Caenorhabditis elegans: one gene and its partners. The protein of the gene in region 1 interacts with the protein of each later gene in a pairwise test. Each region holds a gene or a part of one and is shown in the gene's direction. Other genes may lie near its edges. The genes, in order: cec-1, tbx-9 and C38D4.7.

The links.
Region 2: the proteins of cec-1 (region 1) and tbx-9 interact in a two-hybrid assay, tested with the Caenorhabditis elegans proteins (one large-scale study listed by BioGRID).
Region 3: the proteins of cec-1 (region 1) and C38D4.7 interact in a two-hybrid assay, tested with the Caenorhabditis elegans proteins (one large-scale study listed by BioGRID).

The regions. Positions count from the first base shown.
Region 1 is NC_003281.10:8,424,632-8,429,132, forward strand, and holds cec-1 (Chromo domain-containing protein cec-1), read left to right. Parts: upstream 1-1,701; 5' UTR 1,702-1,708; coding exon 1,709-1,768; intron 1,769-1,988; coding exon 1,989-2,032; intron 2,033-2,205; coding exon 2,206-2,839; intron 2,840-3,457; coding exon 3,458-3,634; 3' UTR 3,635-3,952; downstream 3,953-4,501.
Region 2 is NC_003281.10:10,339,488-10,343,882, reverse strand, and holds tbx-9 (T-box transcription factor tbx-9), read left to right. Parts: upstream 1-2,024; 5' UTR 2,025-2,031; coding exon 2,032-2,324; intron 2,325-2,749; coding exon 2,750-2,825; intron 2,826-2,882; coding exon 2,883-3,035; intron 3,036-3,461; coding exon 3,462-3,818; 3' UTR 3,819-3,877; downstream 3,878-4,395. UniProt on the Caenorhabditis elegans protein: Transcription factor. Involved in the control of early morphogenesis of the intestine, hypodermis and body-wall muscle. Involved in regulating expression of vab-7. Appears to have partially redundant function to tbx-8.
Region 3 is NC_003281.10:4,809,496-4,813,185, reverse strand, and holds C38D4.7 (C2H2-type domain-containing protein), read left to right. Parts: upstream 1-1,890; 5' UTR 1,891-2,035; coding exon 2,036-2,077; intron 2,078-2,121; coding exon 2,122-2,307; intron 2,308-2,362; coding exon 2,363-2,772; intron 2,773-2,818; coding exon 2,819-2,873; intron 2,874-2,917; coding exon 2,918-3,064; 3' UTR 3,065-3,155; downstream 3,156-3,690.

The DNA.
Region 1 (4,501 bases):
GTGCTCGGCAAATTCGGCAAATTTGGCAAATTTGCCGCACACCCCTGCTCCACACAATCAATTTTTCAACTTTATCAAGCTTGTTTCAGTTTCCGTAAGATTTTCGCATCTCCCAGGTTCTCTGAATTCGTCTTTCAGATCAAAACCTATTTGGAATTGACTACACAGTTTAGCCAAAGTTGTCACAAAAAATTTCGAAAATTGCCAGAGTTGCCGAACATCAGAATTTTCGTCAGCCGACTTTTGGCTAAAACTTGCGGCAGCTGCTGAAAAGCCAGACAGCCCTGTTCTGTACATAGAGTGACAGGAGTCTTTGTCCGTGTGAACTCTGTACTGTGAAACGTTAAATATTGAAATTAATCGGTTCGGTATAAAAGTATTGACTTTTTCAAAAAACTACAGTAACCCAACCAGTTGTAGAAAATACTCAATTGTTAGTGTAAACAGCTAGAAATTTGCAGCCGTGTGATGATCATCTGATGCGTCTCTCCCTTTCTCTTTTTATATTTCATATTTTCCCACCCCCTTTTCTCTCTATAAAATGCCATGTCAACCTATTGGGAAAAAGCAATAGACGTGCGAGAAAACAGAGAAAAGCACTGTGCTGTCCGTCAGTGAGGGGCTGCCTGCGTGGCCGGACAGCGAGAAGACTAGAGCCCGACTGCGAATAGTGTGTCAGAGCAAGAGGAGCAGACGCTGTCGAAGGTTATACACTATGGAAAGAGCGGACAGAAAAGAGAAAATAGACCTCCATCACACACAGAGAGACACAGCCCACATACACACAAACAAACCAAGGCGATGTCGTCGTCTTCTTCTCCTTATTTCATTCTCGTATAACTCTCTCACTGTCTTCCCATCTCTGTTAACTTGTCAAAATTTTCTCTAGTGCCAAAAAAACATTATTTTTTAATAGCAAAAAAAAAGTTTAAAATTTTAATAATTCTAGTGGTAATATACAGTCAAAATGGTAAATTTCCATAGTCACCACAAAAATGTAGTAAAAAAACATTTCAACAAAATTATTTTTTATCCAAAGTAACAAAAATCTTAAGGTTTCGAAAGTTCGAGGTGACGAACAGTACACAAAAGCTAGTGCAAACCTTTTGATAACCATTTTTCAAAATTTTTGTAAATTTTATGTTTTGTTGTTGCGATATTTGTATATGTTATTTTCGAAGCATTCTCATAATATATTTTTAAAAAACCCCTACATTCTAGAATGTGTTTTTTCTACAATTTTTTAGATTTAATGTAGTTCAAAAATGGTTTTTTCTCTTTTTCATTTTTATTTTGAAATTTCTTACAGGAGCAGTTTTCCAAACATACTCCGAAACTCAAAATGGCAGTAGTACCATCAGATTTTAGAAGGCTTTCTTTGATTCCTGAGGTATACTGCCTAAATATATTTTCCTTGAAATTTTCATTGCTCATGTTGTAATTTTAGTATTGTTTGAAATCCTGTTGCAACCCTGGTGGCTTTTAGTCAAAAAAAAAATAAAAATTATACAAATTATGTTAAGCCAGATATAACCATTTTAACTTTAGTCATTTTTATGTTCTACATTACATTTTAGCTGTTACTATTAAATTCTATCAAAATTAGCAACAACTTTAATAGAGAAAATTTTAAAACGTTTCAAGTTTACCACTCAATTTTTTTTTCACTTTTCCACTTATTTACCAACACCAATCTAATTGTAGAACCATGGCCGACGGATCAGAGCTCTACACCGTCGAGTCAATTTTGGAACATCGCAAGAAGAAGGTAATTAAGTTCAACTTTTACTTTTTTTTTCCTGCCTGGCACTCAGCCAAGTCATTCTTCTATCCTTCTCTAGTTTTTTTTTTGCAAACGCGTAATCAAGTTTGAGAGACGCAGAGACAAATAAACATAGGGAACGTTCGGTTTGAGATGGATTGGGAGAAATTGAAGAGAAAATAAAATGGCAAGATATATTTGAAATATGTAATTAACGATTTTGCAGGGAAAGAGCGAGTTCTACATAAAATGGCTCGGATATGACCATACGTAAGTTTTCTCTCTCGAATTTTTTCCAAAACATTTTCATAAAGTTTTTTGAAGCATATTTTTTTGATTCAATTAGTTATTCCAAATTATACCCATTTTCAGTTTTGAAAATTCCAGAAAATTTTAGTTATTTTTATTACAGTCTTGTTTGGACTAAATCGTGTAATTTTCAGTCACAACAGCTGGGAACCAAAGGAGAATATAGTCGATCCAACACTAATTGAAGCGTTCTTCACGCGAGAAGCAGCTCGTAAAGCAGAAATCAAAGCTAAAAAAGATAAAATGGCTGCTGGAAAGAAGGGTGCATCTTCGAAAGCTTCTGCTTCAGTAAGCAAAGCATCTGCTTCAACTCCTGCTCGTGGAGCTAAAGCTGCTCCAAAACCCCCACCCAAAAAATCCCCACCAAAGAGGCAGAGACTAGCAGGAGGTGATATCCGACCAGATAGTGATACGGATGAAGAACATTCTTCAGCTGATAAGAAATCAAAAGCAGAGGATGAAGAAGAAGTTGAAGATGATGAGGAGCCAGTGCCAAAGAAAAAGAAGGAGGTTCAAGAAGAACCTGAAGAAGAAGAGTCTGTAGAAGGAGAAGATGAGGAAGAATCCCAAGAGGTTGAGGATTTGAAGGAAGATGAAAAAATGGAAGAAGACGAGAAAGAAGAAGAGGAGGACGTACAATTAGAATCAGAGAAAAACGAGAAAGAAGAAGAAGAGGAAAAGGTGGAGGAAAAGAAAGAAGAGGAAGAGGAAGAAGAGGAGGAAGAGATTCAATTGGTTATTGTAGAGAAGACGGTCATTGAGACTACGGTATGTCATTTCATTTTTTATTACTTTTCTACTTTAACTGCTAATATTTTGGTGTTCGTTAGCTTTATCAAAACAATAAACTTTCAACAAATATTTTTAATAGTGTAAGTTTTTGAAAAAGCAAGTCAACTGATGTAGGAGAAGTCAAAGTTGAGGAATATGGGTAGAATACTGTACTTCTTAAATAATTTATATAATTTGAATACGGTTTTTAGAGAAATTTTCATATTTTTCCCCTCTAAGTACGTCTTAACCAAGTTGCCGGTTTCCGAAAAATTGACAAGTTCTACAACCCGACAAATTCTGTGTTCGGCAAATTCAGTGATTTTCAGTTTCCTAAAAATTTCAGCGTTAAGTAATATTGCTGGAAGGTTTATTTGCCGCACATCCTTGTTATTTTTTATCTTTCGGTTGTTTTTGAGCTGATTAAACAATTTTAATACCGAAGTATTGAAAAAACGTAAAACATAACTTTACTTAAAATTATGTTTATCTTTATTCAAAAATATGAAATTTTGCGATAAAAAGTTTTCCGAAATGCTACGACTTTTAAGAGCTATTTTTGAACGTACTTTAAAGATAATATTCCTTATAAAACTTAAAATAAAAATGTTTCAGATAGTGGAACCAGCTGTAGCTACTCCCGAGCCATCCGAGCCATCGTCTTCTGAGAAGGCTGTAGTAGAAAATGGATCTTCTTCTGCTGCTGCAGGAAATTCTGCTTCAAAACCAGAAGTTTCTGCCGTAGAAGTCGTCACAGTTGAAGACGACGATGATATTGCAATTATCGAATGAACAAAATATAAATAAAAATCAATAATCACTGATTCTCTATTATGTGTTTTATGAAAAATCTCTCTGTCTCTCTAATTCCCTTCATCATCCTTTCACTCGTTTCAACTCACTCTCAATATTATCATTTAACTTAAATCTTATTTTTCTGTCATCTCTTAAATTTGTTCCAGATAACCAAAGTCTTTAATCAGAAAATCATTATTTTGTCTATGTCACTCATTCAACATCAGTCGCCGTCGCCCTCACCCAAGAAAAAATTCCATGTTACAATTTTATTTACTGCATTTTTTTGAAATAAAATAAATACAAATATTATCGATTTGGAAAAGGCATAAACATTACAGAGAAGCACTGACACAAATTTCCAACAGAACAGTGTTGGTCTACCAAAAAACAAAACATAAAAATTCGGTATTTGATGAGAAAGAGGCTTATATATTACGGGAACACACAATTTTGAGAATATGTATTGTGCAATTAATTTAAAGTGCAAAATATCCAGTATCGAAAACTACAGCAATTCTTTACTTGTGTCAATTCGATGGAAGGGGAACAATTGAGAGAAATGTAGAAATGTCAGAGTAGAACAAAAAAAGTTAAGCTTGAACTGAAAATCTTAATAGTTATTATAATCGTGCAATGGTAACAAACATATAACTCCTTAATTTCTGGAGCCAAAATAGCGGCAGTGAGAGAGAAAGTGGAAAGCTCACCGAGTGAAAAAACATTCAATAACTGGAAACTTTGCCCCGCCCCTTTTCTTGGATTGTATAGAGTTGATCCACATTTTCCCCAGAGATAGCTAGAATTTGAACTCAAAGAACACTTGGAAATACTTTTTCTATTAAATGAAATATCAATTTTCAT
Region 2 (4,395 bases), 1.9 Mb from region 1:
AGACACCAAAATAGCTGCACATGATATTTTCAGCAAAATTAGACAAAACAATGAATGTCAGCACTTTGTTCTCGCCGCCACGTGGCAGACACGCGTACAACGAGGAGTTCGCACCTGTGGAGGAGGATATACATTTAATTAATAGGTATGGAATTGAATTAATAAATTTAAAATTTTATTTTGTTAGGGAAGGAATGTGATTTTTAAATTTTTTGAACAAGTGTTTTAGTGTTTTTAAAAACATTTTAAAAGCAGGAAACCTCAATTTTTGTGTTCCTGGGAAAAAAAAATTCAGAACAACTAATCAGTGATTGTAAACCTTATCACCTGTATATCCATTGACGCCAACTAACAATTGTGGAGGTTATAAATCCGCCACGATGTTTATCGACCACCTGATTTAGAGGTACCCCCCGTAAAAACACCGACTCGGAGAGTTTTGGGAAGAGTAAAGTTTTACAGCTTTTTTTTTGGTGTTTTGGAGATCAGTCTTATTTTCTAGGAAAATGGGGCTAATGGGGTCGGAGAAATTTGGGTTCAGATAACAATTTGGGAAACGATTATCTCGAAAAGCTTCGAGTTTACCGAATAGTTGCCAACTGACAAAATATAGCTCTGGAAATTATGAACAATCAGTTAGTTGACAAATTTTTGATAGCTGCATCCACAAAAAAGTTAGACCCCGGAAAAAAATTGAGTTTTTTTTTGAAAGTTGACATCTTTTTGATAGCTTTTGGGAAGACGAATATATCAAAATTATCCTGACTTATAGACTTAAAAGGTTTGCTCAAAAATTGCTCAGAAATTTTAATGGATCTGCAAAATTTGGAGAGTTTTTCCTAATATTTTTGAGCAATGTTTTAGAACATTCGTTATGAAATTCGAATTTTTAATATCACTTTATGTCTAAAAATGCAAAATAATTTTGATCCGTTAACCAATGTTTTCTTTTATCCATTTTCCTTCAGCTACCAATTTTTACACCTCCAGTCAATACTGTCGGTGTTCTATCAAAAGAGCCCACTACAACTAACCGGCTCAAAAATTTTACAACGTATGCTCTTTTGGAGGTAACCGACAAAAAAGGGGTATACTTGGAAATGGTATATTATCTGGAAATAGAAGGAGGGTTTGAAGATGGAATAATGGGTAATTGTGGAAGGTATGAAAATGTAAAATGGTAAAATCTTTATTTTGAAACATTAAATAAAGTTATTTTTTTCAAATTTCGGTTTTTATATGGTACAAAAAAATTCAGTTTACATTAATTTTTACTGTCATTCTTTCTTGAGAAAAGTGATCTCAAAGTAAAAATATACAAAATCCATACTGTCGATAAGCATGGTATACATAGCATAATTCTTTAATTAATAAGGAAGTTGTATCATCTTTAAATTTTGAACATTTTTTGAAGTTTACATAAAACCAACATTTTCGGACCGTCTTCTCTATTTCTATGCCACATCAGAATTTGATCTCCCAATTTTGTTTTGAAAGTATACCCAACTCTTTTGATCTACCAGTCAGCCGCCAAGTCTTCCCAGAATCGATAGCCGAGAGGGCCACGCGCACAACCTGCCCGCCCTTGCAGAGGGGTGTGGTTTGGCAATGAGGTGAGATGGGGTGAAGATGTGCACAATTTCTCACTTCTTTGTCTTAAATCACCATTTTTTTGTGATGACATCTCTATCTTATCGTGTTTCTTATTTTTCTATTTTTTTGTTTTCTTATTTTTGAACGGCGGGGATATCTCAGACGTTATCTCAAAACTGGCAAGAGATACCAAATAGTTGTCAACTAACAAAATATTGCAAATTTTATCATTGTTGCTTTGTTAGTTAACAACTTTTTGCTAGATACCACCGTTTTTAAGTTAGAATAGTTTTCCCGCTCCTCCTTCTCACTGGTACCACACTCTAAGCAAGTGTAGCTGCCAAACCGGTGAGAATATAACATTATATCTTATACCATTTTCCAACTTTTTTTTTGCTGTTCGTTTTCATAATATATTTTAACGTTTTCAGACAAAAAATGTCCAAAGTCAAAGTATCAATCGAAGGATCCCAAGAAACTCTCTGGAAGATATTCCACGCAGAAGTCAACGAGATGATTGTCACGAAGAACGGCCGAAAGTTGTTCCCAAAGTTGGAATATATAGTCGAAGGGCTTGATGAAAACAAGCTGTATGCAATAATGCTCCAATTACAACCAGTTGGAGAAAGTCGATTCAAGTTCAGCGGTGGAAAGTGGCAGGAAACGGGCAAAGCTGAGAAGCAGGTCGACGCGAAGAAGATGTGGCATGCTGATGGAGTTCGGAAGGGAAGGTGAGTGTGACATAGGAATTGGAAGATTAGAAGCTATGAAGATTTGTAAACTGACATGATTATCAAAATAGTGAGAACCATTTTGTCAATTGGCAACTTTTTTTAGCTCCGCCCTGGTATTACAACTTCAAAGCGCCATATCTCAGCGGGCTTGGAAGTTTTAAAAAAGATGTTAACTGGAAAATTGTTAACTGATTTATCATCTACAATTTGCCAGTTGACAACTTTTTTCTAGCTTGAGCCATTGAAGAGTTAGAGCTGCCGACACTGGCATTCAAATGCCTTTGGAATATTTTGAGGGTTACATCTCATCTAACATTAAAGTTTTCAAAGTTTGTCGTTTGTCAACTGACAACATAATTCAGATGAAAATAATTCTAAATTTGCTAAATTTATATCTTCAAAGTAACCCCAATTAATTTCAGTGACTGGATGTGGAGTTCGATTTGCTTTGATCGTGTGAAAATCTCCAACTATTCAGAGTCCAACAACGCTTCAATGGTAGGATTTCAACTTTAAAATTACTTGGCAATTTCCAATTTAAAATTGAAATTTCAGATTTACCTCAACAGCATGCACAAGTACATTCCAGTGCTGACAATCTACGAGTCTCCATCGGAGAGCCCTTTCTGCGTCCCACAATCCTCAAACCAAATCGTCGCCACCGCCAAATTCCCTCATACCGAGTTTATTGCAGTAACGGCTTACCAGGTTAGTATTGAGAGTAAGAGTATTAGCGCATGGATCTTATCTCGGAAGAATCAATATTTTGTGAACAATGGGAAATCTGGGAAGGAAGGGGGAAGTCTTGTCAACCATCATACTTATCAAGAAGTCGTTAACTAATAATTTGTAACCCTAGTTGTAAAGATTAATTAGTTAGTTGACAAGTTTTTAATAGAGTTAAAAGAAGGAGAGTTACACTTGCTCAAAATTTGGCTCTATTTATAAATTTGAAACTGCGCTACTTTAAGCACTCCTACCTCGCCAATAAAAAGAGCTATATAAAAGTTGTCAACTACAAAAATATTGCTCGCTTTGTGATCCATAATATGGTGTTTAACAATTTCTTAATAGATTCTTTGTTTTCAAAGATAGAGAGAGTTGAATAATAAACCTAATTTTTCCTCATTTCAGAACCAAAAAATCACCGACTTGAAAATCAAGCACAACAGTTTTGCCAAAGGTTTCCGTGACGGGAACTTGAGTCGCAAGAGAAGATCACCATCATATTCCGACGGCAGCAACTCACAGTCCCCATCGCCAAAATCCAGATCACCACCGGAGGTCGCACCTCTTCAGTCGATGCCTCCAATCAACCCATTTCTTTTTTATTTTCCCCATATGTTATCTGAAAATCTTCCAGTCCAATTTCCATTCGCTTTTCCATTTCTCTCGCCTCTCCCGTCGACTCCTTCCAGCTCGAGCAGTGAGCTGAGCATTGTGAAGGAGGAGGATCAGGAGGTAGAAGAAGATATTGATATTGTTGGTTGATAATTTTTATGCAAACTGGTCGCTTTTGATATCATGTAATCAAAATTTTTAATATATAAATATATAAAGCTTTATATTTTCAAAGAAACGACTTTTTGAAGACCCGCCGATTAAATTAGAAGTTTGTCGACTGAAAAAGGCAGCCTAGACTGCTAGCCAACAATTTTTATACCTACAATACTTAAAAATGTATTGTTTAAAGGAACACGTAGTTTTCTGAGTGGGTCTTGCCACGATCACAGTCATAGTGGTCGCTGCAGAACCCACATTTTTAGATTTGCTTATTTGATGTTGAAATGGAAAATTTTCAAGACATTACGAGAACACACAATTCTGAGGATGCGTATTGCGCAACATATTTGACGCGCAAAATATCTCGTAGCGAAAACTACAGTAATTCTTTAGAAGACTACTGTAGTCAAGGGTTCGACTTTTTGAATTGATGTTCAATTGATGTTCAATATTTTCCTCCTTTTCTTCTAGTCTGATTCATTTCAAAAATCGAGCTCGTAAATCGACACAAGCGCTACAGTAGTCTTTTGAAGAATTACTGTAGTTTTCGCTACGAGATATTTTG
Region 3 (3,690 bases), 3.6 Mb from region 1:
ATATGTTAACTGAAAGAGTAGGACTAGATATGATTTTGTCTAAATACTCTTAAAATGTCCCAAAAATCCAAATATCTAAACATGTTTAAGATTTTTCAACTTTTCCAGTCAACTTTGGCAAATTGCCAATTTTTTTACCAATTTGGACTTTATGAAAAACTTCGGGCAATTTTGTAAATTTGAACAATCACAGCGTTTAAATACATATAATTTAAATATAATTAAAATACAAAACTATTAGAAATCATATTTTCCGGATTTCCAAAATTATGTGCTTTGAAAACTGAGGAATTGCCACTTTTTGTGGACTTTGGAGAAAAAAAAATGTTTTCAATTGTTAAAGATATTTTACCATCAAGATCTGATTTTTCTAACCCCAATTTTATAAATTAAAACAAAAAGAACTGAAAAAAAATCATAAATTTCTAGTCAAAAATTACTCAGTTTTCACTTATCATCATTTTGGACGTTGATCATAAGTTGTATTGTATTGTATTTATTACGATAGAGTTGTTCAACAAATTTGGTAATTTGCCAAAAAATTTGACAAAATAGTCCGAAAAGTTGTTTCAATTAGATACTTGGTTTTTTGTAATATGTTTTAGTTTTAGTATATTTGGTATGAAACTCCTTACAATTGGAGATGATGTTCTTTTTTCCAATGTTCCACATTTTCCTAATAATCCGTTTTATCTTTCCTTGAATACATAAACACATTCTCTTGAAGATCATACTAATTGTTTATATCACAATGTGCTCTTCGTCGGGCTCGCGTCAAAAGATGCGCGAAAAGAAATGCGACACCTCCTCCTCCAACTGGGTCGGCGTTAGGCTTTTTCTTTATTCCTTCCGCATCACGCTCGTAAATCGTGGTATCAAGCTGAGAAGGGCCGTCTTTCTCTGGCTTCGGTATCGGTATCTCATTGCGAAAAAAGCAAAGGATATAAGCACTTAAATTATACAAAAGATTATACATTGTTTGGTGTTTTGCCGCACAGTAATCCGCAGTAAGACAATCCAAGTGGTTGCGCCACCCGTCTGTGAGAAACCAACAAAAAAGTTTCACAAAAGTTTGGAATACCTGGGTTAAATTACATTTTAAAAAGTTTCAGGAAAAAGTACATTCTGCATTTTAGATTTTTTATTTCGTTCATGTTTTGGTAAATTACCAAATATTCCAACAACGTTTTTTTTAGTAATTTAGAGAAATTTAGAATTGAAATATGAATATAAAGTTATTTTTTTGATTCGTTTAAAATTATAGAAAGATGCTTAACAATTTTAGAATATAATCCTCCAAATAATCGGGGAAAATTCTTCAATTGATAACTTTCATACTGTATACTTTCAGAATGCAACATGTTATCTTCAGGCCATTTAAATATTTTTCTATATTTTGAAACTAAATTTTAATTAAAAATATAGGCACAACATTCTGAAATAGGCTATTTTGTAGAAGTGATGCACACACAAACTTTGGCAGATTGTATCTCAGCTGCTATTAGTCTTAATATCAAAAAATGGCAACAAGAAAAATATGTTTTATGTATTTTTCTCTACGACATTGCTGTTGAAAATTTGTTGATATCTTTCAAATGCAGAGAGATATGAGCTTCCCAAAAGAGCAACTACGGCAAAAAATAAAAACTGTATTGTAAAAAATTTTCAAAAATTTGCTTTGAAAATTTTTTTTTGGAAATATATTCAGAATATTCTTTTCAATTTCATTGAAGTTTTCTAATTTTTCCCTTTAAAACAAAATGTTTTTAAAAAACGAAAAAGATGAACTTCCGTATGACCTCACGTGCCTCTTGAAGAGATGGGCGAAGCAACGTGTGCCACGTTTTTCGTCAGAATCGACATTCTCGATTTTAACAGTTCACTTTTTCACCTTTTCCTCTTTCCTTTTCAGCTTTTGATTCGGAATTTTTTTTATTAGAACGTGTTCACGCTATTCTTCTCGTTGGGTCTCGCCACGATCACTGTCGTTTTAGCTGCTAAAAGTGCAAATCTTCACAAAATCATACATTTCAGGATGAGCAAGCCAAGCACTCCAGCTCCAGCCTCTGCTGACCAAGTGAGTTTTTCATTTCATTGTACCTAAAAAATAATCGTTTTCAGAATGGCGATTCCGCCACCCGACAGACTGCCCAGACTACTGAAACTCCCGCGAGTTTGCTTTCTGCTGTGGGAAATGGTGCACCGAATATGGCGGGATTTACCCTCAACCGCGATATGGTCCCATTCTTCCCCTACCAACTCCAAAATCCGATGCTCCAACCACCACAAAACTCTTTGGAAAATGCGGTTAGTACATTGACTTTTACAATTGAGCCATTACTGAAATGGAATTATTTTTCAGATTGTGCACTCACTGGGTACTCTGGCTGCTCAGTCATCCATGTTTGGGCAGTTGTGTGAGAAGATGCTAAAAGCCCAAGAAGAAGCTCGCGCCGATCAACGATCCATTCGCGAAGAGCATCGAGCTGAAAGAGAGAAGGCCGACGAGCGGAGCCAGCAAAATATGGATAAGATGATGGCACTTGTCCATTCTCTCGTGGAACGTGTCGATAGGAGCCACGCTTCGTCATATGATGTGGTTGGTCAAAAGAATCCATCGTCCAGCTCCCTCAAACCAGCGAAAAGAGTCAAGTCTGCCGTTGTTCGTCAATCCAATTTAGCCAAGCGGACCGGAGCACCTGTTGATGCTGCAAAGGAGTTGAAAAAGATTCGAGATGAGGAAAACAGAAACCATGGACGATCTGCTGAAAGGTAATTCTAGTTGTGTTTTTTTTTTCAATTTAAATGAGAGTTTCAGAGATAATGTGTTCATCGGTGCAGTGCTGGTGGGGAAAGGATCTCAGTACGATAAGGTAAGCCTGAAAATTATAAAAAATTAGTTGAAGTTGTTTTTCAGGATCTTGAAAAATTCAAGAGCTTCCGATGCAGGACCTGCAATGAAGTTTCCCAGACGAAGGAGCAGCTCGTGGATCACTTTTCAAACAACCACGCCGGCGAACTTGGGGCGAGAAGGTCACTGCGAATAAAGCAGACCTCGTGTTAAATTTCTTTTTTAATTTATATTCGTTTTTGTTTTAAAATTTAAGCTTTTTTGATACAAATAAATTTTATAGTAAATAAATCTTGTTTCTCCTACCAGCTATCTAACTATTCCCAACAGTGGGTGGCAATAAATACGAGACGCGGCTCTTCTCACGGCGGTATCATAGATGCACAAAGAGCAAAACGATTACGCAACAGACAGCCGGGTCATATTCAGGTCAAACTTGATAGTGCATGAAATCGAGTAGTAAGCGACTCTTTGATATTTTCAGATGCTCCATTTGTTGTTCTTCATGACAGCTGCAGAGTTCCCAGATCGTAAATGTTTAATGTTCTGAAAGAAGGTACATAATCAGTCAAAGGGCGGTCTCATTGTTGCCTTTTATATCAAATCTTTGGAGGACAAATTGTCGATTTCAGCAACATTTTTTGTTAAGAATCTCCAACTTTTAGAATAACTATTTAATAGATCACTCGTTTCTGATAAGAGAAATAATTCTCTGCTACCGTAATCTTTGCTCCACATGAACCTGTCAGTCATAAATGCTCATTCGTATCGTACTCAATTAAACTTTCATCGCTCATTTATTTCCTAATGAACATCGTAATGGAACCTCAATTCCAGAT